Linked DNA regions of Oryza sativa Japonica Group. The protein of the gene in region 2 interacts with the protein of the main gene of each other region in a pairwise test. Links are inferred from orthologs where the notes say so. Each region holds a gene or a part of one and is shown on either strand. Other genes may lie near its edges.

Region 1 (5,139 bases), on a different chromosome or scaffold from region 2:
ATAAATAGCATTTCAGAAACTTACTCGTAGGTTGGACGAACTGATTCTAAACAAATACCTTGATAAGTACAATACCATTGAAGCCAATTCTGCCACCTAAAAGCTAACAACATAATAATTGTCTAATATAAAATGCACAGGTACATCTTATGTCACAGTCAACCTAAACAAAGTATTGATCTTTTCCCAACATTGTACATCTCAGGGTACACCAAATATATTCATTTACGGAGTTAGTGATCTTGCTTAGCTGCAGATGGAACTCCCTATCTTGCAAACCTCATCGTCCACTCCGCAGCTATTTCATCATGCTTAGTTCTATCAGTCAAGTATAAATGTCCAATGCTCGGCACAAGTGGGCAGTCTGCACGGAAAAAACAATCATAATATGAAGTTATCAAGATGAAATGAAGCAAAAATTATGTGTATATTACATAGTTTAAACAGGACTGCATGTTTTATCATGGAAGATAGTGCAGAAACAGAACAATTGTGATCATACTGTAACTTGGAACTTACATGGATCTGGGTTTGTTATGATGGCTTTAATGGCAAGTAGCACCTTTGAAATAGTTAAAGCAGGACTCCATCCTTCCCTTAAAATGTCCATACTCAAGTTACCAGTGGAGTCAACATTGCAGTGATAAATCCTTGTCTTGAAAGTTACCTAGCACAGTGACAGAACAGTTATAACTTGTAACCACGAATTGAGGTCCCCTAATACCGAAATATCGGATAAAATTACAGCAGTGGATCTCAATTGTTTCATACTTCTATATAAACATTGAAATTGCTGTTCCTTCAATATTGAAATTTTAGCATGTTCAACTGGAAGAGTGTATTACCTTCCATATTATTAATTACTGAAACATCAAATCAAGCCACAATTGCCAGCCCATGTGTATTTCCTCTGTATTATGAGTGTGCTATCCACTCTACAAAAACTTGAGAAATTCACTTACTATTGCCAAATTATATGGAGTGTAGCATTAGCAGAATTAATATGATTGCCATGTTGGACTGTATTGATGTTTGCATGGTTCCATGTGCTGGTTAAGGTAAAAGGTAGACCACTGCAGGGCTGTGTGTTAGGTCAAATCAGTCCTAGCATTGCCCTAGGCTTCCAGCACTGCTATCTAGAGAATGGGGGAGAATTCCAGATGCTCCATCAAATACTGAAGAGCAGAAATGGAGGTTGGTTGTTCGGATCCTTCATATCCTACCTCCCATCAAGGAATTATAAGTTGATGGTAATAGCTGGGCAAAGACAGTAACAGTCTTACTGTCTTAGCAACCAACAAACCATGAAGCAGGTGATCATGTAGGGCTGTGTAGGCTACAGCCAGCAGGTGTATACTGATTAGTCAATGTCAACACTAAATGGACCAAAAATCTGCATTTAGAAGGCTCATTTTTTTACCAGACTACTATGCAAATAGTATATTGACATAGGATGAAGGTGATGCCCAAGCACATTAGGCTTCCAATGGACAAAACCTTTCTCTGTAAAATTTTAACACAGCACTATCAACCAAAACAGGGGATGTCTAGGAAAACAACATTTTAGAAACTCTGCGCAGTTATTTTCTTGAACACTAAGCATAAAACAGACTTCAGATAAGTTTTCTTCATAAATAATCAAGATCATATTGAAAAGAGGTAAATGGTGCTTACCTTAAAAAGAACGCAGGTCGCTTTAATTAATAACAAAATAAACTAGCTTTAACATAATCTCTTTTGTTATCTATGCCCTTCTAATCATCACACTGTTTGCTGAGTTAGCCCTTGAACAGAAGCATTCCTTGTCCCCAAAAAGATTCATGAGATATTCCATTTTAGGATGAATCTTAATCCTTGCAGACAACTCGACACATTTTCAAACCCCTTCCAGGCTAAAATGCATAGATCATACACTTATTTTGAAGAAACTAAAAGAAGTCCGGTGAAGGTAGACTTTTGAAACAAAATACCCTATGCATTTACTAAACATACCAATGTTCATCACTTTTGTAATACCCTGTTCACATAGTGAAGTAGAACTAGCTATACAACAATATTATCCCAACCAATTATCCATCCTATTTGAATTTCTATTCCACTTCTTCAAGATTTTAGACATGCGCATGTCTCTTAAAAACATTTCTTTGGATGCAAGCATTTCCCATGTTACCTTAACCACACTTCCACGCGGTAAATCAATAGTCGTCTATCAATAGTTACTGAAGGGAATGCCATATTTATTCTAGATATTTGTTCCAATAACAGCGATATGATCACTCATGAATCACAGCATTAGGTAGAATGCACACAGACAAGGAGAGAAAATGTCAAGTTACAACTTAAGCTTCTATATGATCTCGTAGAAAGCCAGACACCTCATAACCAACAGCCCATTTAAGCAAACAGAAAAAAAAAAAAGAAGCTAATTCTTAGTTCTTACCATGGGAGGTTTAAACGGATAGTCAATTGGGAATACAATATCGAGGAAAAATATCCCTCCTTCATACGGAGATCCTACAAGATGAGCACTGCATTAGATCAGCAAAGTGAAGGTGGTCATAAGACTAGTTCACTCTACACTCCACACCCTAATTCCAAACTTGAAAAAAAAAAAACCGCGATTTCAACTAGTGAAATTCGCAGAGCCGCAGTAAAATTCGCACGAGCTTTATCGGCTGCTGCTAGCAGGGGGGAGTAAGCGGAGAGGGGGAAGGGCGATGATACCCTGAGGTCCGATGATGGTGGAGAGCCAGTGGTAGAGGTTGTCGCCCTTAGGGCCGGCGGAGCAGTCGGAGGCGTTGAGGTCCATCAGCTCCTTCTGAATCCGCTTCCCCGACGACGACACCGACGTGCCGCCGCTGGAGCCCCAGGGGCGCACGCCGCTCCATCTTCCACCCCCACCTCCGCCGCCGGAGCCCCCTCCTCCTCCTCCTCCGCCCCCGCTGGTGCCGGCGCCGGCGCCGGCGGGGAAAGGGGAGCGAGAGGTCGGGAAGGAGGAGGAAGACGACGACATGGCCTCGACGGCTGGCTTACGACTTGGCCTTGGGGGTGAGGGGGAGCGGCGCCGCCGGCGGTGGTGGGGGGATGGAGAGCGACGCCGGAGTGGGGGGAGAGCGGCGGAGAGGGGAAAGGTTAGAGGGAGTGACGGGACGATGAGGGGAGGTGCGAATTTATTTATTTATTTTTCATAATTGTTGTGATGTTCAGTGTAAAATACTACTCCCTCCATTTCACAACATAAGTCATTCTAGCATTTCTCATATTCATATTGATGTCTGTTTCACAATATAAGTCATTCTAGCATTTCTCACATTCACATTGTGAAACGGAGGTGAAACGGAGGAAGTAATTGCATTTCAATATAAATTACTCTATCCATCTTAAAAACCAAACTAGAGGAGAATTTGCAACATATGTTCAGAAATTTTATGTGGAGTTAAATCGCCACCTACAGTGGTTTTTTTAGACGGGAGTACAAAATATGAAAACTAAAATTTGAGAGAAACTGATTTGAGACGTGCTTTTATTCTGCGTGACAGCCTGATAGCTCCACATATACTCTTATAAATCCATTTTTGCTGTTCCAGTATTGCCAGTAATAATGGGCCAAAAGCGACCAAGTACTCAAATTTTAAACTGACCACACATAAATCCAACCCTGAAAAACCATAAATAAATTTCGGTGCCATGTAACTGTAACATATGGACTGCTTTAGAACGTAGAAATTTTTATGTAGGACTTAATTCTTCATTGTACAAACCAGGCCAGACATTTTTGCATCTGCTACATGAGACCAAAAAAAAAACTTAACAAACATGTAGTACTCAACAAGAGTATAAATTTAGAAGAAAAAAAATATTAGTGAGTCTGAGAGAAAAACACTGTTACTCAACAAGAGTGACAGTTTCAGTACTGAAGCGATATGCAGGGAGCACAAAACACTTTTTGAGTCATACAAACATTTCAGAAAAGAAGGTTTCCACAATTCAATACTCCCAGCCTGGCATTCAAAATTGATGTATTTGACTCCTTTCTCTAGGTCAACGAATTTTGAGAAACACATGCCATCTAACCTCAATACATCTAAGACAAATATGGCCTCCTACACTCCTACTGACAAGATCCACAATAAATTTCGGGCATCTCATCCAAAACGCATCATTTTTTTACAGGGTTTTACATGAACACCATGATAGACAGCAATGTAATTAGGTGAGTCAACCAGCACGAGTGAATTTGTGTAGCAAAATTGTCTGGGCTTACGGGCCCAGACGCCGCACCACCGTTGCTGCCATTGGAGCCAGTGCTGCAAGAAGAACCAACACTGCATCAGGACGTAGAGCCAAAAAAAAAATGTAGAACCGTTAGCACAAAAATATCGAGAAAGGACTCACCTTCCTGCAAAAATGCATGAACCATGGCCTGCATATTTTGATCCAGGGAAATTGTATTAGGCTCATCAAACAGGGAAAATAAGTAATCACCCGGTCCAATCTAACAGTAAATATTCTTGATCTCTTTGAACACACTAAAAAAACTTCAGGATGCCTTCTATAAGAAAATGCATGAAACTTCAGGATGTGATCATGCATTTAACTAGTGGTAAACACATTTTATATTAGCATGATCAGATATCTAAAGTCTAAGGTTTCTTCAAATTTTCTCGCTTACCATTCCTATGTAATCAGAGGTCCATGTCAGACATACACAAACTCAAACATGTTCAATTATAACCTTGTTTGCAGCTCCAAGGTGTTTACTGGCGTTCAATGGCATCTAAGTCATATTAAGAATAGGCAAACAAAGTCCCAATGAATGAGCCAATCAGTTCTTTTGCATGCACTTGTTACATTTAGTTTCGCTTGGATCAGAACAGTTTGTAATAGCTGCCATGCTGCATACCAGGAACAGGAAGACACCGTAGAAATCATGTAGTCATGTGGATACTATTATAGCATGCGACAGGATAAGCCCCTATAAGTTTCACAGATCTTAAGCAAGTTTCCATGTAACCAGTAAAATATTGGGCTGGTTAACTAATAATCTAACCAACATGATCTAAACTGCTATGGTGGCTGGTGGCTATTAGTTTGGTGAAAACATGCATCTAGTTGTTTTAATATATAAACTTAGTTTTT
Region 2 (5,102 bases):
AGCAAATAGCTCATCATCACGGTCAAATTCGATACTGCATTTAAGAAATATCAATGTGATTCCCTATTCTCATGTAAGGTAGGCGACTGAAAAACATATGAGATTACAGATAGACATGGAAATGAAAATTATGCACCAAAAAAACAGGCACAAACTTATAGTCATATTTTGTTCCTTATAATACATGATAAACATCAGCATTCAAGATTAGTGGATTTGTTTGCTAATTGAACATAGTTGAAGTTTGACTCATAGGAGCAATAGACCATCCCCCCTCCAACCAAAACCTCTCCTCAGCTCACTGCTGGCTTGAGGATTCAGCTATGACAACATCCACATTGCCAATAGCATGTTGATGCACATGAAATAAGGCACATATTTTGTAAAAGCACTAACCTTGATACGATATTTGCAGAGTGAAACAGATCTCCATGTCTTAGCTCCGCAATTACACGCAAGCGACTGAAGCATAAATGACAGAGAACAAAAGAATGATAAGCCAAATGAATAGGCATAACCACTACCATGATCATAATGTGCTAAAAAGGACAAATAATCAGCGGACCTATATCGTGTGAATGTTGTTAGCACAGACTGGAAATCCTCAAGTCCTGCATGATAACCTTCTTTATTTATTGTTACTATGTCTCTTTCCTCCAGCCTACGTGATTGTGCTCCGGTACGCCGTCTTTGAAGATAGTATTCTTGAAGCTCGTTAAACTGCAATATGCCCCATAGCACATTAGCATTTCATCTTACATCAAAACAAAATAAACATATAAGTTCCTAATCTAAGCTGTCTACATGCTTGCAATATGATAGTACCAAACTATCAAGCGCGCAATGGGAGAAACAAACCTGAGCTTGAACTCGCCTCTTCCGAGCAATAACGTTGCCTGATTGAATAGGGGCACTAGGAGGATCCGAGCAAGTGAGAACATCTCTCCTTTGAAATCCTTGATGACTAATTTGACCTTTCAAGTCAAGCTTCTTATTCTGTAAACCCCCTGGATTTGATGTACTAAGTGGTCCCCGAGAGTTGGGAGGAAAGAGACCACTAGGTTTATCCATAGGTGAGGGCCACATCTTTGATGCAGCAGGTTCATCCAAAAGCATGCGGAGCTTCATTGAGTACCTTTCTTTTGTTCGATATAATTCTAACCTATGTCTCTCCACAGCACTTATATCTTCTTTGATGTACTGTAGGTCAGTTTGAATCTGTGTAAAAAAGAGGTTAACATGATTAACAACAATAGACATCAGTAAAAGATTATTTATTGTTGTAGGTAGCAAGAAAAAAAACCTGCATACTGAAAAATACATATAGACAAACCTCATTCAGCTCTTCCAACTTTTGCTTTCTGAGGCAATGCAAGAAGACCAGCAATATTTGCATATTTGTTTCTGACTCTTGCTGTTCCATATGCCGCTTCTTCTCCGCGATCAAAGTCATAAGACTATCTAGTTCTTTAACCGCCATATCGTTTCCCTAGAAAAAGAAAGAAGAATTAAACTAAAACATATGATAGTGTTTGGTCATCATTCATCTATTACTTATTTAGAGAACGTCAGTTTTATGTTTGAATTTTGAAACAGATATAAAGTCAGCAAGGTAGTGCAAATCTATCTTCTGTGGTATACTTGGTTTATCATATGGACAATCCTTGTAACAGTTAAGAGGACGATAGAGATCATGTGGCTGTAAGAGCGAAGGAACAAAAGATACTTTGATATCGGTCACAGTAGCTTAGATTCTACAATTGATGCAAGAGATAAGCATGTTCAGTGTAGAACTTAATTACTACTCTGTACTACTTAGTTCTGAACTGAAGATCACAAGCACAGCTAAGGTACGGAAGCAAAATTTTCACAGTACATAAAACCATTTAGGAACATACCACTATGTTTAAGGAGCTATTGAAAGTAGACATTTTCAAAAGTAAAACATGTGAAGTGACTGACCTGTTGCAGTGCATATCGAAATTGGTCTATCGGTGATGCTGTCTTCGCAATTTGGCGAGCTGACATTTTCTTCAAGACCTATGCAGACATAAATGTGATAAACATGCTTAGAGATACATTTATACAATCCCAGTATCAAGTAACCAGTAATTACAGCTTGTTTTAAGTTTTAACAGAACTAGAGAAGAACTCTAGTGATGAACAAATTATATAATAGGTACTGATAACCAGAGCAGACATAGAACTAATACTGTCCACTGCTGGTGATTCTAAACAAAACTTACATTAACAACAAACTGTAATGTACCGTGCAAGTCAAATAAAACTGAGCTATCCAATCAGAACACCTGCTACTACTTCAGAAGCTACCACAAACAGTAGTACAATAAATCGCAGCTCAAGCGCTGAATACTGTTGAATAGTTGCTACAAACGAATCGAAAGGCATACTGTTGAATAGTTGCTACATTTGTTAAAATTGGTTATACCGGATACCTATCCCAAGCCACATCCAAAGGTACATTCAGTGACATTTCAATTTTTTTTTTTTGCGGGGCAGTGACATTTCAATTACAAAGCCCTGCGTTTGAAATTAGGATAGGCATCCAAAATTCCCAATCGATCGGCGGAATATGGAAGCCACGGCCAATCCATTATCCATCTCGGCTGTGTAAGCAGAACGAGCAAGCAAACCTTGTCGAGGAGGAAGTTGGGGTAGAGCTGCGCCTTGGTGAGGTAGTTGCCGCAGCAGGGGCAGTCGCTCTTGTGGCTGAGATGCGTGACGATGCACATGTAGCAGAAGCTGTGGCCGCAGGCGGTGAGGAAGGCGTCCTTGATGACCGCCATGCAGATCGGGCAGAGGAGGTCCCTGTCGGCCGCGGCCTCCCCGTTGCCCCCCGCGGAGGCGCGCGCCCCCGCATCCTCCTCCCCCTCCCCCGCCACCGCCAACGCCGCCGTGGACGCGTCCCCCGACGGCGCCTGCTCCTGCTTCGGCACCGATGGCACCAGCGCGCCGGCCACCGTCGAGTCACCCATGCGGCAGGAGGAGGCCGCCCTGCGGTGGTGAGTCGAGCAGGCGGCGGCGGTGGAGGCGGCGACTGGGCGTGAATAATTGCATACGAGGGGTGGGTGGTGGTGGTGGTGGTGTGGTGTGTGTGGGAGGGAGGGGCGGGTGGAGGAGGAGGGAGGGGAATTGGGTTCTGTGTGTGGGCGTGGAAGCGGAAGGGTGTATGGGTGGGAGGAGACCACGTCGGGGTCGGGGTAGCCTCGCGCGCCGCGGCGCTGCGGGCAAATGTGCGTACGCGAGGAGGCACGCACACGACGACGGCAAACTCCGTCTCCGTTCCTCTCGAAGGAAAAAACGAAGTTTGCCGGTCTCCCAATGGAACGCGTGCTTTCGATTTGCGCATTTAATCCGAGTAGTTTGGTTTGCTTAATCCGTGCGAGGAATTTGGCAGGTCGGGACGGACGCGTCGCGAAGCGACCGGGGGAGTGGTTAGAGTCCCAATTGTCCTCATAAATGAAAACCAAAAATTAAAATTTCAAACTTGAGAATTTTAGGTCGCTAAAACATCTCTGTAAATTACTACTACCTTCATATTTTAATATATGACGCTGTTGACTTTTTATCTAACGTTTGATCATTCGTCTTATTCACAAAGTTTATGTAATTATCGTTTATTTTATTGTGACTTGATCCATCATCAAATGTTTTTTAAGCATGACATAAATATTTTCACATTATCACAAAAAATTTGAATAAAACGAATAGTCAAATATTGATAAAAAAAGTCAACGGCACCATACATTAAAATACAATACGGAGGGAGTACTTTAATTTAGGTAACCGATGAGTAACCTTAGTTTCAGACGTGCTGGGTCCGGTTGTTATGTGGGTTACAAAACAGCGCTGCATTGAACAAGTGGGTGTGGTGAAATGGATGTTCTGTTAGAAAATTCTTGTAAGAGAAGATCATGCGTGTTTCTGGGATCATTCTCCGTGTAAAAAATGCATCATCTCCATGGCCAAATTGGCCACTGGATGCTATCACTGACCCGGTGCGTGAGCCCGTGGCCACCACACGAATTCTGTACGGCTGTACCGTATTACAGGCAAGGGTTTATATTTCCAATCGAGGTCCCGCTCCTGACCCTGTCAGTATAACGGTTTTCACGAAAACCGTCAAATTTCAAACAAAATTAAGAAGCCAAATTCTCAAGTTCCATTTGCCCGTCAATGAAAAATGATCAAAATCACCGAATTCCAACCGGAACTACCAGGATTTCAGTTGATTCGAACAGGAAACCACCGTTCCAGTGTTTTGGAAACCAAACAAAAGCATCTAAAACTCATTGGATTTGCTGAAAAGCCAAAGAGTAGCGTGGGAATTAATTGTGTTTTCTGAATATTTGGATAATAGGGGAAAATGTTTGAAATATGAGAAAATTCATGGAGATGATAGGAACATTGCAAACTAAAAGGATATCAAAATGGGGAAACCGTGGAAACGTGGGAAAATGTAAGAAATTAATAAAGAAATTCAGCATGACCTTTCCTACAATTTGACAACCTCACATTGAGAATAAGCGCAATGTATATTCATGAACACAAATACAAGATAATTTGAAGTCCATATCATTGACAATTAAATATGCATAACCAAATATATGTTACGCCATTAACATCAACACGCATAATATAAAGTACATCAACACAATACAAAGTACACCCACAATCAATACATACTGTAAAGTGCATAAACAACATAGTATAACAACAATACAAAGTCCATAATATAAAGTGCATACACAATCAACACATATTGTAAACCCTTCTAGATGTCTTTTTTCAATTTACCAATTCAGTTGTTGTCCAAAGAGCATTTTCATTCTACGCCTATATTTTTTGACATTTCATATGCATGTATTTACTACAAATGTAGGACTATTTACAAGTTATTTTTAAAATATTCTTCATAAATTTTCAATTCAAATTTGAAAAATTCTGAAACGATTCAAAAATTCCAACAGAATTTGCTTTCGCGCTGCGTTGAAACGTCAGAGTTGTGAAGTGTGAACCCTAATCTATCTGATCAAAGCCTTCTTTTTTTTTGGATTGATTTCATCCAGGAGAGATGTCAG
Region 3 (5,243 bases), on a different chromosome or scaffold from region 2:
TATAGCCTAGCTAGCCCAGGAAGAAAGGAACGGTGTACTGTACATTTTGGAATTAAAGAAATGGTCAAGCTTTACACACCACATAGGCTCACACCAATGCTTGCATTGGCACATGCATTCATCTGCACACACTGAGATTGGGTCTCTGAAATATGCAGCAAATCTGCTGCATTCAGCAGCTGCATCGATCTAGCACCTGCTCCAGTGGCTGCCTGCTTGCTCGTCTTGCTCATCGTGCTAGCTACTAGCTGCTTGCTGCTGCTTGCCTGCCCTCATATTTGGCCAGTTCCAGTCTGTAGCTTTCCTAGTACAAAGATGCATGTTATTTTTACACACGACAAATACACGAACCTGGCGAGCTATCGCTTTCAGTCCTCCACCTACATGTTGTTGAGCTAGAACTTGTCAATCTGTCATACGCGTGACCAAGGGTTAAATATTTGAGAAATCAAAAAATAAACATTTGGGGCACCTAAATTCCGAAATCGATCTCCTGATGAATAGCTTGAAATTCTGAATAATTTTGCTAAAAACTTAGTACAAATTCTCTGCCGAATAGCCACCTGTAAACTGGAAATTGTTAGACGGAAATACTGAATCGAGAGGCAGAGAAATTAAGCCATTAATTTGTCTAGGTTCTCTTATTAAAAGAACATTTGTCTAGTGATCAGAAGTTGCTTCGGTTATGTATGTATTCGGCCCTCCATGGAAGAAAAAAATACACAAGAGAGGCAGTGATTTCAAAGGTTGGCACCTACCCTGCGTCCCTGGCCAATAATAGGATAGCCAGGTCTTATTGTTGATCAAAGGACTCCGGCCGGCTAGCTATAGACTTTCAGCGTAGTAAAACTCTCTTTTTGCAGTAATTTAATTGGCAATTTGCCATGGGACAACTCATTCAAGGTGCAACAGTACGTTAGGGTCCACGTATAATTGATTGGTTTTATTCTTAATTAATGTGAACATATTTTAATTGCTTGCTATATATGTATAATTTAACTTAGCAATGGACTTATATTCTTTTTTGGCAACGAAATGACTATGCAAATTATTAACGCTCTCAAAATTCATAAAATCGCATATATGGTTGAATGGATGAACAAAAGCTAGCTTTAATTAAAACACAATTTGGAAATAGTTATTCCTAAATTTTTAGACAATGTACAAGTGTTTATATTTCTGGCCATAAAACAAAAAAGAAAATATTCTAAAACTCTCTAGAGAATAGAGAAAAGGCTAACGGATCTAGGTCATGTTAAATAGAATTCTGATTTATTTTATTCTCGTTTCTCATAATTGTCATTACTATATATGGAATCATAGATAACTATACAATTGAAAATAATAATTTGAAAGAGAAATTAATCATTCACCTAACTTTTGTCTCCTCGGAACAAAAATGGCATCTTCCATCAGAAAGGCTTAACCATTTTCCAATGTACTTAGTGATTTACTTTATCCGTGACTCTCTACTACCTGCAAACATGCACGCAAGATTCCATGTGCAAGTGTACTTTGTCTATAGGGAACAGTGATCATGACTCTGGTAGTAACGCTATCAAGTCTCCATGGAAAAAGCTCTGAACAACCTTTTCTTCCCTCTGTGCTTAGATTTGAAGGGGCCAACCAGCAGCCTGGAAGGGTGATTAATTGAAGCCAAACAAACACAAGCCTACACACTTTGACTTGTTAACATCTTCACTATAGTCTCTCTCTCTCTCTCTTCCATCTCTCTCACTGGTCTTATATATTTTTCTGTTTGCTGTTTGTTGGCTTGTGCTGCTCTCTTCTCTGTGCCTGGCTTTCTGTGTCCCAATATATCTCCTGAAAGGCAGTGTTTCTCTGTCTCTCTCTATGTCCTCTAGCTAGATAGTAGATAGCACAGAGGAGAGAGCTCTAGCTTAGCTGCTGCTGCCCCGGCAGCTAGCTACAAATTAAGAAAAGGGTTAGGAGCAGTGGGATTTGGTAGTTTGGTGCGTGTGTCTTGTTGCTTTTAGCAGCTTGGAGTTGAGGCAAAAATCCAATTCTGCTCAATTGGACTCATGGGGAGGGCTCCATGCTGTGACAAGAACAACGTCAAGAAGGGACCTTGGTCGCCTGAGGAGGATGCCAAGCTCAAGGAGTTCATAGAGAAGCATGGCACCGGCGGCAATTGGATTGCTCTCCCTCAGAAAGCAGGTATATATGTCAACTTAATTTCAGAGATCTTGTGCTAGCCCTTTGGCGATTTTGTATTTTTTTCCCCCTTATGAGTTCATGTCTAAATAAGGCTCGATCACCTTAATTTGCAGCTGGTTTCTTTTCTTCTTTGTAGAACTAATTGATTTGTTTTCTTCGTCTGTTTTGAGAGTTTAATCAGTTGTATTCTATGGATATAACTCCTCTCTCTCTCTCTCTCTCTCTCTCTCTCTCTGTGTCCCCTTCTGTAGATGAATATATATGTTCAAGTCTGAAAGATCTTATTTACTGCTAATTAAGTATAAGGTTTTTCCAATTTTTTACATCGATCATTTTTCTCTTCGCGGATACTTTGTTAAGACGATAATTTGTTCTATAGTTTATTTAGCACTAATAGTCGTACATCCCTTAATTTGTTAACTGGTCAAGAGTGTAATAGATCTCTGACATAGACACAAACAATGTTATGTCAGGCTTGCCGGCTGCCGCATGCAATTATAGGTCTTGATGTGACTACCCCGCTTGTTAGAAAAACGCAATGCAGATCAAGATCCTAGAACTCGTTTGTTTGAAAAAAAGATCCTATAATCCTAGTTGAATCTTCCTTATAGGAGCTTTTTCATACATTTAATTTTATGCTAGCACTGAGCAATATTTGGCTGTTTATAAGTTATACATCATTAATTCTCATCCCCCTATAGTTTTTACGCAATATTTGAGCTATTTGGTCCTGAATTTCTGACCTTATTTATTCTATAATTATAGGATTGAGGAGATGTGGCAAAAGTTGTAGGCTTAGATGGCTAAATTACCTGAGGCCCAATATTAAGCATGGAGAGTTCACAGAGCATGAAGACAGGATCATCTGCAACATGTTTGCCAGTATTGGGAGCAGGTATATACATATATCACAATGCATATATAGAGTTTTCTAGATTAAGATGTACATTTAACCTTCCTTTTATTTCGATCTACTTAATTTCATCCCAAACATGCATAAGTATGACCTGTTTCTTCTCCCTAGCTAGAAGAATCCTTAGAAGTTATAATTATTTACTAGTAATATGTAGGTAGGAGTATGTCTAATCATCAGCAAATGAAGAGATACCTAACTATATATATGCTCTGATACAATTTCAAGTACACATTTGAGAAACTTTGGCATCTGTAGTAGCTAGATAGCTACCTACCCCAAGTCTTGTCTTGTAGAACAGTACAAAGATGACATGAGAAAACCTAACAAACAAGGAAAAAAGAAGAATGCATGCAAATCACTCATTTCTACTTGTCATCCATTTTAGGTGGTCTATAATCGCGTCGCAGCTCCCCGGCAGAACGGACAACGACATCAAAAACTACTGGAACACCAAGCTCAAGAAGAAGCTCCTCGGCTCGAGCGCCGTCGCCGCCGCCGCGCCGCCACGGATACAGCGTCATCAGCAGAGCCACCACCGGTCGTCTCTCCTCCTGCCGAACTCGCCGTCGCTCAATCCCGGCGGCGGCTACCCAGGCTTCTTCTCCGGCGCCGGCGGCTTCCATCCTCAGGAACCAGCTATGCCGTTAACCCTACCGACCACCACCCAGGAATTCATGCTGGGCACTCACTCTGGCCTTCCAATGGTGAGCGCCTCTGCGCTGCTCAACCATCTGCACGGCGCATCACATCATCATCAGCTGCTTGTGAAGGAGGAGATCAGCAGCAACATGATCGTGTTCGGCTCCGACCAGCAGAGCTGCAGCTCGTCAGATGGGCTGGCGGCGCCACACAGCCACAACCACCATGGCAACAGGGAGTTCATCCTTGATGGCTACAGCTATGGCGTCGGCTACGGCAGCAGCTGCATCGATCAGGTCGACAACGACAAGCTGTTCCAGCATCATCATCAGCAGGATCAGGCACAAGAACAGCAGCAGCAGCTGGTGTACAACTACGACGAGATCAAGCAGCTGCTGATGAACACATCAACCACAAGTAATAGTATTAATGCTGGTCAGGATCATGGCGGCAGCATGGAAGCAGGGTTGATCGGCTCACAAGGGAAGGTAACCATGATGTAAATTAAACTGATCGATTAAAGAGGAGGGGAAGGCAGCAGCTGGGCACGGCAAGATTAAGGATGGATTAATTAAACCAAGGTGTGTTGTTTTTTTTACTGTTCTTTGATTGGATTCTACCGTACGTACGTGATGCATGGCGCGTTTAATTGTTGTGGTTAAAAAAAAAAAACAAAGGAAAGAAGTGTGTCCCGTGTCACGGTCGCATGCACGTGCCAGTGCAGCTGCTAGTATAGCGTTTGCGTTCGTGTTACAGCCTGCAGTGTGTTGTATGTCACTGTGACATGGGATCGATCGATGGATATCATGATAGAGATAATCTCTCTCTCTCTCTCTCTCTTGCTGTTGTATTTTCTCTCTCTCTCTTCAGTATAGTGTACTCTCTCAACTACTGTGGAAACTTGATTACTGTGTGGCACAGGCCAGCAGATTCAGTACTTTTGCTCCACTGTGTTGTGGACACATTTCCTTCTTCCTGCAGTGCATGCTTCGATGTAATGTCTGTGCTACTACTACACGTCTTTTCTCTCTCTTCCTTGAACTCTGGGCATAGGTTTGTTGCTGCTGTGGCACAGTGCATGTGAAGCCGTGCAAGTTGTGTGCGTAAATAAAAAATTGCTGGCGTCGCAGCATATCGATCAGTGCATGCATGGAAGCATGCATGATTGGCGTCGAGATGGCACATGGGGGGACGACGAGAAGAAACGAGTCTTTGCAGTCGTCCTTTGCCGCGAGAAACGTGTCTTGTCGCGAAGAACACGGTTGCAATGCAGTCGGAGTAATTTTTTTCTTTTCTCTGGTTTTTTTTTGTTTTTTTTAACGATGTGTTAGTGCTGGCAGATCAGGCAGAGTTGGCGCATGAAATGGAAGCGAGATCGATGAAAGATTCGACGAGAGAGGGGAGCGAAAAGATTCCCAGCTTGTTGCTAGTAATTTAGTGCCTCCATGGACAGACATTGTCCAACAGTGCGAGGGATATCCGCCTCTCTGTCGTCGTTCTTTGTGCATAC
Region 4 (5,198 bases), on a different chromosome or scaffold from region 2:
AAAAAGAATTGGATTATGTCTACCGAAACACATAAACTAGTAATACAATGGAACAAGTAAACGATAAAACCGAATATTTGCATTGCTACCTAAACACGGAAAATATATAGCGATGAAATGGGAATAAACGTACAGAGTATATATTATGGTCTGATTCAACGATGGCGGTCCGGTGTATAAACTACTTGATCTTACCTTTTCTTTCTGCATTATATGTGTGTACGTGTAAATGGGAGGACATATGCACGTATAGTTTCTGTAGCTTTCCGTCACAAGCAATTTATTTCTTCCTGCTGGGATTAAAATATTTGGTCCGTAACTCTTCGAACTGGCAGTTTGACGTCTTAAAATTGAACGATTCAATATTATTAAAGTCGCCAGAAAACTGCAGTTGAAATCAAGCTTCACAACAAAATAACGTAACGTCGTACATAATGAGAATTTTGCAGGGTAGGCGTGTACTTCTAATTTTTTTAATATGATAAAGGAAGTAAACAATGCGCCATATTTTGAAAAAGAGAGTACTATCATTATGATAAAGGACTGCCTTTACAAATTCAGTAAATAAAATACTCATGTATTATTCATTTCAACTCAACACACTAGACCGACACAAGTGGAGGGAAAGTCATACTACCCCTATTTATTTTTAGAGTAAATTCATAAAACTGCCATTATTTGATCAATTATATCGCTTTACTACATCTTTAACTAGATATTTCATATAATTGCAACAACTGCAACAACGAACGGTTTTATTATAAAACCATAATTTTATCCCATAGTGTGTATGACATGTGATCCCGATTTGCAACAATACAAGTATCTCATAACACAATATGCATTACTCCTATGTGTATAACAAGTGAGTCTAATATCTTGTTAGAGCTATAAAATTGCAGCTTTCAATAAAATCTTATGCTATTATTGTAGTTCATTGAAATGCTTTGCTGAAGTTGCAACATATTGATAGTCTGGAAGATTTCTGAAATTTACTTTTATTTTTAACATTGCGTTTAACATATACGGATATACTTTATTTGATGTTTAATTAGGATATCGATAGAGCCCTCAATATATAAGTTTGATTTTTATCTTTTATTGCAATACATTGATAAAAAATTATAAATTATTACTACATGAAAATATTTTTAATGACAAATCAACTGTTGTCTTCGCATATTAAAATTTAGTGGCCATGATCAGCACTTGTGCTCCAGCCAGACAACTCTGATTCGACACTGCTGCGGCGTAATTGTAGTCAGCACTACCGATCAGCCCCTATTATAACACATATTCACATATATTGATGATCTAAGTCCTTTTAAGGTTTTTCGTTTCAGCAGCAGTACAGCAAGCACCTCATCCATCGACTTCAGTCTTCAGGGATGCCAGAACGTAAGCACACCATTCCATCTTTTGGGCGTGAATGTGCACAAAACGATGGCACCGAACAGCAAAGGGCACAACATGTGTCAATATGCAGCGGCGACTGGTGACACGAACGTGTGCCTTGAACAGCGGTGGCAGCACGCCAAGGCGCCAATGCGTAGCAACAGCAGCCCGAGTGATGAGTGACTACGTGAGCACGCATGCGGACCGCCGGTGGCGTGGACACCTGTGGTGGCAGTGGCAGGCACACTAGTGGCGAACAAATTAAAATGCCTTTCGATTTCCCGTCTGGTTTCCGCCGCATAAACAGACATTATCACGGGGTTTACTCTTGTCTCTTGCAAGTGCCAAACCTTGTAATTTTATTTCGCTAAAAATTGCATCTGCTTTCAGACTACTGCAGCCTCTGAGAATTACAGAAAGCGAAGGTATGTACTCCGTCCGATGTAATGATACTAGTGCCATGTACATATATGGTTTTGGTCGGACAGATAAAAAAAACCATTTATTTTTTCCTCGGAACTAAAAGAAGGAAAAACAATCGGCGACCTAACCACTTGCTTATTCCCGTGAGGGGCCACAGGGCCAACGGTGATGATTGGGCGAGGCCTATAAAGCCCCTGCGCCCATCTCTCACGCCAACGCAGACCGACACAACAGTGCAGGCCGCAAAGCAATCACGGCCGTCCAAGCAAGCCGCCTCCTCCTCCTCCTTACCAAGCCAAAGTCTTCTTCTGCTTTCTTTTCCCCTCGTGCTGCTCGCGGTTTGGCATTGTCTCTCTAGAGTCTAGACTCTAGAGTCTCCTCTTGCTCTCTTCTCGTCCGCCATTGATGGGGTGCAAGGCGTGCCAGAAGCCCAAGGTGCACTACCGGAAGGGCCTGTGGTCGCCGGAGGAGGACCAGAAGCTCCGCGACTTCATCCTCCGCTACGGCCACGGCTGCTGGAGCGCCGTCCCCGTGAAGGCCGGTAAGACCACGGTTCCGAGCTCCGCCTGCGACGATTTCGCCGGGGAATTCACCGCGAATTTTGCAACTGCTGTACGCCTGAATGCATTGCACCTGTGTCCTGCTTCAAAACCCCCCTGTTTGCTTGTTGCTGCTCTCGTTTTTTTCTTTTTTTTTTCAAATGCACCTTGATTTAAGGGAAGGGGAGAAGGGATTTTTTTTGTTTCCTACTATTTGCAAAGTGTTGTTCAGCTTCAGGACGATAGATGAAGCCTGTTTGAGCTTTTGTGTTTTTTCGTCAAATGTACCTTGTCTGGTGAGCTGAATTCTCTTCTGAATTTGCCTTTCATGCAGGGCTGCAGCGTAACGGCAAGAGTTGCAGGCTGAGATGGATCAATTACCTGAGGCCGGGGCTGAAGCACGGCATGTTTTCCCGAGAGGAAGAAGAAACCGTCATGAACCTGCACGCTACAATGGGCAACAAGTAAGTGTCACACTTTTCACCTTACCTTTAGAGCCAGGAGATTGCTGTCAAGTAACGCTAATTAATTTAGCAAAGTAATTACTCCAACAGAGAGTAATTTTGGACATCCTACCTTCTGCCTTTTTACTCTTTTTTTTTCTTTTACTACTACTGCACTTTGCTAGTGTCAGCTCGGCAAATTCAGTTTCAGAGTGGAAAAGGGCCTGGTTAAGTAAGAACAAAAGGAAATGCTGATTTTGGCCATCTAGACCGCTTTTGAGTGGTGTAGTTGATGCTGACATCTACGTTCCATATTGAGGCAATCAATTGCTTCTTTTTTCCGGTGCACATTTGATGATTGTGAACAACCATCTTCCTCTGATTAATTTATTTGCTGAAAGGCGTGCTTAGTCACGGTTAACCTTTTCTTAGCATAAAAGAAATGGGGGAAAAATCAGTGTCTGATTCCTCTCTCCCCCTCTTGAGAAAAATACTAACGCATTTTCTGGAGGTGATGTGGTTGCTTACTGGTGCAAATGCAAGTTGCCAGCTATTTTTGCACTCTTCTTTAGTCCTGGTTCCATCGTCAGAAATCTTAACACCGTCCTTAGACACCAACAGTCTGTACAATCTCATTTATGAACATGGACGTACGGCAACTGCTGTACTACAATCAGACTAATCACAGTTCACTGAGAATTATGGAAACCTCTGCTTTGACGAAACCTAGAAAAGATCAACGTGTGGTACTACTATGACAATAAAAGATCCTTTATTAGACTGACTGTGCAATAGTAATTCGAAAAAAAAAAGATTAAGAAGGCGATTATAAGTTATACTAGATAAGAAATACTTTTATCTAACTTTTTTTGTTTGAAACTAGGACTTTTATCTAACATGGTGATGGAAATTTGTGGTTGCAGGTGGTCACAGATAGCGCGGCATCTGCCTGGCCGGACGGACAACGAGGTGAAGAACTACTGGAACTCGTACCTCAAGAAGCGAGTCGAAGGCGCGGAGGCTGCGGCCAGAAAATCCGCCGAGCCGGCCGACGTCGTCACCGGCAGCCCGAACCGCAGCGAGACCGGCCAAGAACGCGTCGCCGCTGACCGGCCGGCGAGCTCCGAGTCTTCCGGGCCGGTCGAGTCGTCGTCGGCCGACGACTCGAGCAGCCTCACCGAGCCCGCGGCGGGGCTCGCCGCCGTCCGGCCGCACGCGCCCGTGATCCCCAAGGTCATGTTCGCCGACTGGTTCGACATGGACTACGGGACTAGCCTCGCCGGGACGGCGCCGGGCCTGAGCTACCAGGGCTCGTCGTCGGTGCAGGTCGACGTCCCGTGCGGCGGCGCCGTGGACTCCCTGCACGGGCTGGGCGACGGCGGCTTCTGCTGGGACTTCGACGACGCGGCCGATCACATGCAGGGAGGAGGAGGGCTCTGCGACCTGCTCTCCATGAGCGAGTTCCTCGGCATCAACTAGGCGGGAGCGTACGCTCTTTCTTCCGTACAGTTCGTCGCCGAAGTGTAAATTCGTCAGTTTCTTTTTTTTCCCCCTCTTTTTCAGAGGTGTAAATCGTGCCGTGCATGTGTAGTAGTTAAACTTACTGGCTTGTAGTGTTGAGTTTGGACTTCGAAGCCATGAGTTGTGCGTCGAAGTACAGTCTTAGCTTTCTCTTCATAAGGTTCGTGACTTCGTGTATACAGCTCTGGTTTTCCGGAAAACGGTTCAGAAAGAATAACAGAAACAGAGCGTCACAATTGCACGGTTTTCAGGCTTTCAGTATTCTGTTCTTGTCTGAGGAACACCGCATCCGCATGCTAGCTAATATGTCCATGCAAATGCAGGTCGCTCTCAATTACTCCCGAGCCAATGAGACATACTCCCTCGGTCCAAAAAAAAAGACAAACCCTGGTTTCCGTGCCCAACGTTTGATCGTCCGTCTTATTTGAAAAAATTATAAAAAAATTAAAAAGACAAGTCACACATAAAATATTAATCATGTTTTATCATCTAACAACAATGAAAATACGAATTATAAAAAAATTTCATATAAGACGGACAGTTAAAGTTGGACACAGAAACTCAGGGTTTGCCTTGTTTTTTTGGGACGGAGGGAATAGTCCACAAAAAGATCTACTCAATCACCACTGCAGTTCTACGATTGTGGAGTCCGGATTGATTTGTGTTTTCGTTCTGTTATGCTTCTCTGAAAATCTGATCCCCTGTGAGGCTGTGACCCTGTGGTAGGTTGAGACTTGAGAGATCACTTCTTCCATATTATCGAAGAGAAAGACATGTCCAAGGAGAAAGTGCTATTGGGATACTGTGTTTTTGCACCATAAGTTCATTCTTACCCCAGAAATAGTACCAGAATTACCGGCTAACCGATCGGTCACCG
Region 5 (5,335 bases), about 7.6 Mb from region 2:
CCAAGTCCATGGGATAAGTAGAAATTTCACAGCAAAACTTGAAATGATAACTCTTATCCGATTATGTGTCCATCCGGTAGCCCAAAGTTCCCTCATGCCAGCATCTACCAATGGGTATCCTGTCATTCCCTGCCTCCAGGACTTGAACCGCTCCTCATCTACTTTCCAAGGGTAGTGTTTCAAGTTCCCCAGCAATGACTTTTCATGTGTGAATGGGAAGTTAAAACACAAGTACCGTGAATATTCTCGAAGACCAATTGACCGCATGAAGAAGTGAATGCTCTCCTCAGCTTCAGATGTTCCCTCATTTTCCCACTTGATTTGTTGCATCCTTACAAGTTGATATACTTTTCTTACACTCACCTCACCAAAATGAAGATATGGTGATAGCAATGATGTAGTAGCTCCCTCAACCTTCATTCCATGTTTTGAGTATTCTAGGAGACCATGGGAGACAAATTCTTCAAGCATCTTTTCTGCATTGCGCCAACCAGGAGACCAGGCCCTCATTAGCAAAGCATTACTTGATTCCTCATCCTTGCTTGATTCAAGTCCTAGGTCATCAACAGAACAGCTACGAACACTCTCCAAACCTGAATGTCAAACTGAAAAATTGTTAAGCATTAAAGTAGCTGTATCTTGACAAACTAGACATTGACTCATTGAGTGTAAAGGTTGAAGGGCATCAATTACTAAATCTGTAAATATAAAACGAGTAATGCTTGCAAGTAAATAACTTCTCGAAAAAAGGTAAACAACTTAATCTAGAGATAATTCTGTAAGTACAGACAAATTAAAAACATAGAAAATCTTCAAAAATAAAAAAGATAAATAATGGTAGGCCACTAGCCACGATCTACCTGGGACAGGCACCAATTTCCAAGGTGCAAGTGACGGTGATGCGTCAATAGGTAATTCCATGCACTTCTCCCAGTACATGTTAAAGGTTGTAAATGCAAGTCCACTATCATCATAAATTTCCCATGGCTCATACAGCAGATCACCATTAAAACTCTGGATGGAAATTCCCAGTGCCGAAAGCTCTTTTTTTATTTTGTCATCACGCACAAGAGAAACAGGGTCTAAAATTTAGAAGAGTGAGAACAAATAAGATTAAACCAGCATATCTGAAAAGAGTAATTTTAAAACAAAACTGCTAGTGGAATGGAACAATAGAGAACACAGCTGTACTCCGTACCAACTTTAGAGGTACACGTTTCTGAAGTCTGAACTAGAAAACCCAAAGTTGTTTATTTCATATCAATATTGTACTAGCTCAAATGGAAAAGGCCGTCTCATTTTGCAATGTCAAACCTTTGAGTTTGATTTTCCCCTCTGATGTGACAGTTTATAGTATTTGGTATTTGATATTTGAAGAGTGGAACTATGACAAATAAGACCATAAGCTATAGTTGGTTCAAGTTAGCCCCTAAAGATTTATTTGGCACTTTATTATGTAGTACTACCTCCGTTTCAGGTTATAAGATTTTCTAACATTGCCCACATTCATATAGATATTAATGAATCTAGGCACACATATATATCTAGATTTATTAACATATATATGAATGTGGGCAATGCTAGAAAGTCTTATAATATGAAACGGAGGAAGTATTTATGTTAATCATACTTGGCCTAGTTTCTATTTTCATGCGCATATGCTTTTTGCCTTATTCTTTTCGAAAGCTATTGTTATGAATTTTTGATAGGAAAAACTACTGCCAGATTACTACATATAATGCAATTTTAATTGTTTAGAGATAGTTTCCTTCTTCCTATATATGAATTTGAATATTTTTTATATTTGTGGGGAAAATGTGTATTAGTGATGTTTGTAGCACATATCATGTCAATACCAACTAAATGAACTGACTTATGATACATAACCATGGATAAATTGAGAGAACTTTCTACTGTATTTACATTTAGAACAGCATGTAAGCAACTGGCATGATCTATGATTTTAATCCATTTTCTTAAAAAAAAAAGATCTATGATGTTGTTTACAAGGCTTCACTCGGAATAGCTTTTGATCAAATGTTACATAACTTATTAAGTTGAGCCTTTTGACAACATAAAAGTACATGATGTAGCTGGCTAAGACTTTCAAAGTCGTCATGGTCAGATTTCTTCGCATCCAAAGTGTAAAGAAAAAAAAATATTTTCACAAAGAAATAGAATAACACAACATATAAGAAACTCCATTGATGCAGGAAACGCCATGAGAAAGTAGCCATACCATACAGATGATTATAAACCAATCTGGTGGCGCCGACAGAATCAATGCACCGCAGAAGAGCCTCAAGGGTACTCTCGGCTCGGATCAGCACGAGCGGGCACCCGAGCGACTCCAGTGACTGGCTGAGGTGGGGGAGCGACTGCTTGAGCCACCACCTGGAGCACCGGCCGGGATAGAACTGCCCTTCATCCGCAGGGCACCATATGAAGACAGGGAGCACAGCGCCGTCCCTCGCCGCGGAGGCCAACGCCGGGTTGTCGTCGATCCTGAGGTCCCTCCTGAACCAAACCACGGTCCTCTCCGAACCGGCCATGCCCAGGGACCAAATCCCACCACCCCCAAGCACTCAATCCACCATGACCAGACCAAGCAGGCAAGCACAGCTACCACCCCTCCCAACTCACAGCGAGCGAATTCCCCTCACAGGCATTCCGTCGAGCACGTCCCGTGCAAGAAAGAAACCACTCCGCCCGGGCCAAAGGACAAGAAGCACGGATCTTGATGGCCGCCTCGGACCAGAAACCCCTGCAAGGAGGAGGAAGAAGAAGAAGATGAGCACGGTCACTAGTAAATTAATTAAGACCCCAGTACGCGACAGGATACTCAGATCGTGGAAGCGCGCAAGCGGCCAAGATCGAGGGTGGGCGCACCAACGCCGAATCGCAGCCTGTGGCCAGGAGCGCAGGATCACGAGCTCAGCAGCATGGGCGGGGCCTGGGCTTCCTCCGGGGCGTGTACGGTAGCGGAGCCCCACCCGATCATGGCGAATTGGCGAGCGAGCGACTTATCGCCGTCTGCCTCTCCTTGTGCTCCTCTTCCCCTCCACCACTTGAGAGAAGAAGCAGCGCACACGCACGCATACGCACCCCCCCCCCCCCCAAATCCCAATTAAATACTAGTATAACAAGATCTCACGCCACGCTGCGCCACGGGGACCAATCGGGATTTGCGAAATGATACGGTCGATTTAGTTTTTAGCGACTTTTCATCGCTAGCTCAGCTCCACCGGCCGGAGCTTCCACCGATCGACCGGTGCGATTTCGCTGCGACCACGGGGGAGTCGGGGACCAGCGACGTGATATACTCCTTTAAACTACTACTCCTACTACCCCGTACTACAACTAGGCCACAAGCTCACCACCGCCGCCAGCGCCGTCCCGATGCAGTGGATTTCAGTTCACTTCCCAAGCCAGTTGCCCCAGTTGCGAGCTGCATCAAAGCAGATTTTCCTCGTCTACGCTACTCTGGCACAGTGATTACACATCGGGGTGGGCTGGTGGTCGAAGGCGCCAACTTTAACAGCCAAATCCCAGTCACTGTTGCACTCGCTTCGGGACCCCCCATACGTGGCTCCCATGGAACACTGCGTCGGACTGACGACTGGTGACTGGCCACGGCCGGAGATCGAACGATCGGTGAGGCCATGAGCAGCAATGATCAGTGGAGATGCTGGATAGGAGTAGGCCATGCCGCTGCCCATGCACTGCACGGCCGCACGCGAAGCGCGCGCAATTACGCGACCCAGGCTGTAACCAAAGTTGGGGTTTTATCCCGAAAGGATGCGTTCAGTGAACCGGGGCCGGTCGCCTTTTCATCTCCCGTCCCCGTCGCCGTCGTCTCCTCGATCGTCTGGGCCCATCGGGAGGGCCTAGATCTTTCCATTGAGAGCTTCGACGGCGGCCTTATCTCATCTCAAATCTCATCTTCAACTGTAGCAATGATGCTTCCGGTCTCTCTCACCCACCCGCATGCTTTCTTTCTCCTTCACGAGAAAAAAAAAAATGGCCCGCTCAGGTAACTCCGATGATACCCTCTATAGTCTCTATGTACATAGGAAGAAAGTGCTGGTTTAGTTCTACCCACAATCTCTTGATCTCCTTGACAGCTACAACCAGGTAGGGAACATGGTTAGGCCGCCCGGACACTTCGTGACGACTCACACAGCCTGAAAAAAAAAATACCCGAACGGGTAAAAACGATTTTTCAGTGATAGAAATACCGAGCAATAAATCAAAACATTAAGATTGTTATACATCATAATTAAAAATATTAATGAAAATTTTTCTTGGTTTTGGACCGAAAAGCTTTCCTTCCTTGCTTTTCATCCTTAGCCAAAAAGTTACCGTACAACATAACTGCAGTAACGCGATTTTCTTCCCCTCGCCCCCGCGTCGCCCTCCCTCACAGGCGACACGGGAGGCAAAAACAGCCGGCGTCGCCGCTCCCCCCTTCCTCCCTCTGCCGCCTCGCCGCCGCCCGACCGGCCGCCGGCAAAGCCGCGCGGCCGCAAGGACGGCGGCGGCGGGGCTTCGTCGCCTTCGTCTGCCTCTCCCGTCGGCGGTGGGGGCCTGCGCGAGACAGCGAAGGCCGCCTGTAACGCCCCGATTTCCGCGTGGCGTTAAAAGCTAATGCACCGAAAACCCTAATTGCGAAAATTTTGATTCTTTGAGTGCTGAGTCTAAGTTGTGCCAAAGATCTCAATTAAAATCCCTCCCCTGTCTCAATACCCTGTTATCAAAGATCGTCTCCTTAAAATTTTCCATCCAATATAATCCCGAAGCTCGATTCCTTCTATTCGGAAATCCCTCCTGGAACCCTATCCCTAATCTTTGTCGAATGCCCGAACCCTAACCCAGTCCAATGATTCACCTCCGAGACCTAAATTCTCCCTTGTTTCCTTCAAACCGACTCTCGAATTCGAGCTTAACCTCTCAATTTCATCTCTCCCTCTCTCTACCTTCCCTTGACTCTCTTTCGAATAATTGATCTCAACTCCCACATTTATAATCTCCCTCTACCTATTGCTTCGTCATTCGTTGAAACCATTTCCGAGTATTTGCTCCGAATACCCGGGTGCAGATCCATATTGAATTCCTTTTTGTGAAACCCAATTCTCGAGATTTCCCCTCTCTTAGAAACCCCATCCAAATAATCCTAGAACAATCCCCGAGTACAGATCTATCCCAGGATAATATCCGTTCCAGATAATCTTGAAGTCCGAACCCTTCTATTCAGGTTTCTCTTCTAAATCCCTTATCCACGTACCTCGTCGAGTAGTCGACTTGAAACACTCGAGATACACTCTCATTCTCTAAA
Region 6 (3,774 bases), on a different chromosome or scaffold from region 2:
AACACATGGTTAATTGAGTATGAATTATTTTTAATTTTAATAATGGATTAATATGTTTTTAAAACATTTTTTCTATAAATTTTTTAAAGACACCTTTTTTTTTCCTTCAAATGCACCCTAATAGTTTAAACACTCGATCATCCGTGAGTACTGCATAGCACCGGGCCGGGCCGCCTGGCACTCCTGCATGAACAGGCGCGGGCTAAGAAAAGCCCTGGCCCTCCTCGGGCCCAAAACGAGAGGGGCGTGGCGCGCTTGGCGCGAGGAGAGGGGTGTGGTGGTGCGGTTTGGCCAAGGAAGGAGCATCGGACGCGCCGCCTCTGCCTTTTCCTTTTCACATTTCCCCCTCCTTCCCTCCTGCCCTGCCTCCTCGGCCGGCGCGGCGCCCCATGTACGTGGCTCGACCGACGGCGATCGCCGGCCCTACCCCTACCGCCCGCGGCGCACGTCGCCTTCCGGCTCCGGGATTGTTAATTACCGTTTCGAGTGAGACACTTTTGCCCCGCGTCGCGTCGCGATTCTGCAGGGATTCATCTGTCCTGATCATCTATCCATTCATCTGTTCCCTTACCTAATTTCTCTGCACAGATCCAGCAGTTTGACAGCAAAGAGAAACAGAGGGATCATCGAGGAAAAAAAAAAGGGCTGGGCTACAAGCACATCCAGATCCAGGCTGGAGTAGGAGGCAGCTGAGCGAGTGTTGTTCCAGTGGTGCCTGCCAACGGAGGTGGCTGGCTCATGAACATTCACCCGTACAACCAGACAACCGTACAGCAAGTGCAGAAAAGAGGGACACCAAATTTCAATTTCAGGTACATCTGCTATTCTGCTTTGGGTCCTGTTTGTAAAGTTTAATATTCTGAGAAACAGCTGGAGAGAAGATAGGGAAGCTGAAAAACCCAGTTTCTAGCTTGTTTCTAGCTTTTAATTCATTTTTTGGATTCTGCAGCTACAGTTTCTCTCAAACTAAGTGAAAATTAGAACTGTTTTTTTTGGGAGGGGTGGGGGGAGAGCTTTTGGCAGTAGCTTCTTCTAGAAGAATCTTCAGCTGCCAGAAGCTCCCACAACCAGGCCCTTACTTCCTAGTTGCACTAGGCCTGTAAAGGTCCCATTTGAGTTACAGGCCCCATTTGAGTTCACTGAAGATTAGCGCATAATTAATAAAATTTTAATTATTTTAACTTAAAAGCAATCTCTATATAGATTTTTTTTTGTGCAAAAAACACGACGTTTAGCAGGTTTAGAAAACGTGCTAACGAAAACCAATGTGAAATCCGTACCTTAATCAAGAACAGGCCCTAAGTAAGAAAAGCTTTATTAGATTCTACTTTTCGAACTAGTGAGTAAAGTCAAACCATATTTTATTCATGTAGTAGTAACTTGAATGCTCTCAGCATCAAGATACAGCATATTACAGATTGGTGTTTTCACTTCCAATCTTAATGAGTTCAGGCGAGCAACAGCACGCATTTGCAACTTAGAAGATTACACATACTGACATTAGCATGGTGAAGAAGACGACAGTACATAACCAAATGTGCCATACGACCATTTATCTGTAAAGTCAACCATTTATCTGCAGCCAGTGAATCTTCAGTCTGCAAGTACGTCCAATCCTAAGCACAAGCCACCGTCGTGGCTATACGAACGAACTGCAGAAAACACAACTCTTTAGCAAAAGTATCACACTGGTACTTTGAAAAAGTGGAAGTTGTTCGCAAGAGAAATAAATATATGAAATCAATTGTTTGTAGTTTTATCTCTAAAATGGACAGCAATTTAGATAAATCATATTTGCTAGTCATCTGTACCAAGTGACAAAGTGTACAGATTAAGAGGATGTCATAAGCCAATGTATTTCAGAAATGGTAGAAAAATATGTTTGTAGCTAAAAAAAATCAGAATGGAAGAAGCGAAGCCTACAGGACATGGTGGTTCTATAGGCACTCTTGTAGCCGCTTAAATAGAGCACGAGTCAGGAAAAGACGCAGTTTCAGCAGTGGACTCGGGTTAACTTTAGTCCCTATATTTAGACACTAATTTAGAGTATTAAATATAGACTACTTACAAAACTAATTACATAAATGAAAGCTAATTCACGAGACAAATTTTTTAAGCCTAATTAATCCATAATTAGAGAATGTTTACTGTAGCATCACATAGGCTAATCATGGATTAATTAGGCTCAATAGATTCGTCTCGCGAATTAGTCCAAGATTATGGATGGGTTTTATTAATAGTCTACGTTTAATATTTATAATTAGTGTCCAAACATCCGATGTGATAGGGACTTGAAAGTTTTAGTCCCATCTAAACAGGGTCTCAAGCAAAACAAACTGAGCAGCCTAAACAGTCAATTAAGTAATTTCACATACCATTTCATGATTATTTTGCTGGAGCAGAAGCAAGTTCGACGCTGAGGATGAAGGTTGACATGCCAGCTTCCCTCATATGTCGGACATCGCCATTCATGAGCCTCAGCAGGTTTCTAGAAACCGCAAGACTCATGCCTTCATCCGACTGCTCCTTATTGTCATCCTCGTACATTTGTGACAGCAGATCTGCTGGGACTCCTTTGCCCTGGTGCTTGATCCTGAAAAACATTGATCCACAAGAGTTAATACACATCATTTTATACTTCAAGACTGTCTTAACAGAAAGAAGAGTAAGCGTGCAAATGTCATGACTAACATACCTAAGTTCTAGGTCTATGAGATGAAGGTTTTCCCCAATGCTGTTCTTGGTCAGGCTACAAGAGATCTCAACAGAACCCCCAACAGGAGAGAACTTCACTGAGACGAATAGGAAGTCAGAGAGAATCTGCTGTAGTCGAACACCATCCCCGTAGACTGTTTGCTTCATATATCTCTCCGGTAGGTTGCAAGAGACTCTAATCCCTTTTCCCTGGCAAGTTATGAGTACTTGACTTACAGCAGCCACAAACACATCTTGCAATACAAACTCAACCATCTCCAAATCCAAGCAACTAGACCTGTGAACACAGCAGCAGGAAATTAGTTTGAAGATAATAACTAATAATATATATATAAGGTTTGTACTGAGTAATGAGTAAAAAACCACTGGGACTTGGTGCAACAAATTCTTTCATTTTGAGAGAGCAAAATTGACCACTTGAAGATAATACAAACACATAAGACTATAAGAGCAACACCATCGACCTGTTAGGTCTGACAATTGATGAAGAACAAAGGTAGCTGAAAGTAAATACAAGAGCCTAAGAGAGTAACTTAGAATACTTGGTAAGAAAAGTACTTGTTCATGACGCTATCTTGATCCAAGTCAGAAAGTATTTTATTCAGCTGGCGGTGACAACTATCTGCAACATTGACCTCCTTCATCTGCTCTTCATTCAGACCTGTGTTCTTCAGTGCTTTCCTAGAGTAAAGCATACCTGAGAGAGGGTTGTTGATTGCATGTCTCATGTAGGAGTAAGCTTTCAACTTTGTTAGTGCATTCTGCTGTGAGGCTTGCTGCACATGTAGTGCATGTTGCAGCTCATGACTAGGAACTTGAATGAAACAAAATACTCCAGTGATGACACCATCTGCATTTACTTTTCTGTTAACAGAAAGAAGGCACTCGATATACTTCCCGTTCCGGTCGAAGAAGCTGAATGGAGCCTTTTCTGTTTCATCACCAGCTAATGCACTGTTGATAAGAATGCAGAGACTTACAAATGCATCTTTATTCTTCACAAGACAGGAGGCGTTGGTGCTATCAAACACCTCACCAAGAAGCATCTTATTGATCACC

What was found.
Region 1: the proteins of E3 ubiquitin-protein ligase COP1 (region 2) and constitutive photomorphogenesis protein 10 interact in binary tests that used the Arabidopsis thaliana proteins (3 or more experiments, as listed by UniProt). The link is inferred for Oryza sativa Japonica Group from reciprocal best matches to the Arabidopsis thaliana genes COP1 and FUS9.
Region 3: the proteins of E3 ubiquitin-protein ligase COP1 (region 2) and transcription factor RAX2-like interact in binary tests that used the Arabidopsis thaliana proteins (3 or more experiments, as listed by UniProt). The link is inferred for Oryza sativa Japonica Group from reciprocal best matches to the Arabidopsis thaliana genes COP1 and RAX2.
Region 4: the proteins of E3 ubiquitin-protein ligase COP1 (region 2) and transcription factor LAF1 interact in binary tests that used the Arabidopsis thaliana proteins (3 or more experiments, as listed by UniProt). The link is inferred for Oryza sativa Japonica Group from reciprocal best matches to the Arabidopsis thaliana genes COP1 and LAF1.
Region 5: the proteins of E3 ubiquitin-protein ligase COP1 (region 2) and cryptochrome-1 interact in binary tests that used the Arabidopsis thaliana proteins (3 or more experiments, as listed by UniProt). The link is inferred for Oryza sativa Japonica Group from reciprocal best matches to the Arabidopsis thaliana genes COP1 and CRY2.
Region 6: the proteins of E3 ubiquitin-protein ligase COP1 (region 2) and phytochrome A interact in a two-hybrid assay, tested with the Arabidopsis thaliana proteins (2 studies listed by BioGRID). The link is inferred for Oryza sativa Japonica Group from reciprocal best matches to the Arabidopsis thaliana genes COP1 and PHYA.

Annotation. Positions count from the first base shown.
Region 1 is NC_089041.1:23,576,856-23,581,994, reverse strand, and holds the start of constitutive photomorphogenesis protein 10, read right to left. Parts: upstream 3,135-5,139; 5' UTR 3,014-3,134; coding exon 2,725-3,013; intron 2,515-2,724; coding exon 2,441-2,514; intron 668-2,440; coding exon 520-667; intron 365-519; coding exon 267-364; 3' UTR 1-266. Other genes in the region: glucan endo-1,3-beta-glucosidase 4, read right to left, coding at 4,178-4,307, 4,396-4,423. UniProt on the Arabidopsis thaliana protein: Component of light signal transduction machinery. Involved in repression of photomorphogenesis in darkness by participating in the CDD complex, a complex probably required to regulate the activity of ubiquitin conjugating enzymes (E2s).
Region 2 is NC_089036.1:33,025,649-33,030,750, forward strand, and holds the start of E3 ubiquitin-protein ligase COP1, read right to left. Parts: upstream 3,342-5,102; 5' UTR 2,997-3,341; coding exon 2,655-2,996; intron 2,041-2,654; coding exon 1,963-2,040; intron 1,490-1,962; coding exon 1,334-1,489; intron 1,219-1,333; coding exon 859-1,218; intron 721-858; coding exon 566-720; intron 463-565; coding exon 397-462; intron 35-396; coding exon 1-34. UniProt on the Arabidopsis thaliana protein: E3 ubiquitin-protein ligase that acts as a repressor of photomorphogenesis and as an activator of etiolation in darkness.
Region 3 is NC_089038.1:8,541,304-8,546,546, forward strand, and holds transcription factor RAX2-like, read left to right. Parts: upstream 1-2,022; 5' UTR 2,023-2,042; coding exon 2,043-2,178; intron 2,179-2,943; coding exon 2,944-3,073; intron 3,074-3,479; coding exon 3,480-4,236; 3' UTR 4,237-4,670; downstream 4,671-5,243. UniProt on the Arabidopsis thaliana protein: Transcription activator. Positively regulates axillary meristems (AMs) formation and development, especially during inflorescence.
Region 4 is NC_089038.1:27,139,710-27,144,907, forward strand, and holds transcription factor LAF1, read left to right. Parts: upstream 1-2,144; 5' UTR 2,145-2,223; coding exon 2,224-2,359; intron 2,360-2,691; coding exon 2,692-2,821; intron 2,822-3,723; coding exon 3,724-4,279; 3' UTR 4,280-4,579; downstream 4,580-5,198. UniProt on the Arabidopsis thaliana protein: Transcription factor that promotes photomorphogenesis in the light by participating in the transmission of phytochrome A (phyA) signals to downstream responses. Probably acts by activating expression of light-induced genes.
Region 5 is NC_089036.1:25,399,756-25,405,090, reverse strand, and holds the start of cryptochrome-1, read right to left. Parts: upstream 3,104-5,335; 5' UTR 2,843-3,103; intron 2,765-2,842; 5' UTR 2,553-2,764; coding exon 2,240-2,552; intron 1,083-2,239; coding exon 861-1,082; intron 594-860; coding exon 1-593.
Region 6 is NC_089037.1:30,047,508-30,051,281, forward strand, and holds the end of phytochrome A, read right to left. Parts: coding exon 3,274-3,774; intron 2,993-3,273; coding exon 2,696-2,992; intron 2,594-2,695; coding exon 2,386-2,593; 3' UTR 2,376-2,385; intron 1,653-2,375; 3' UTR 1,295-1,652; downstream 1-1,294. UniProt on the Arabidopsis thaliana protein: Regulatory photoreceptor which exists in two forms that are reversibly interconvertible by light: the Pr form that absorbs maximally in the red region of the spectrum and the Pfr form that absorbs maximally in the far-red region.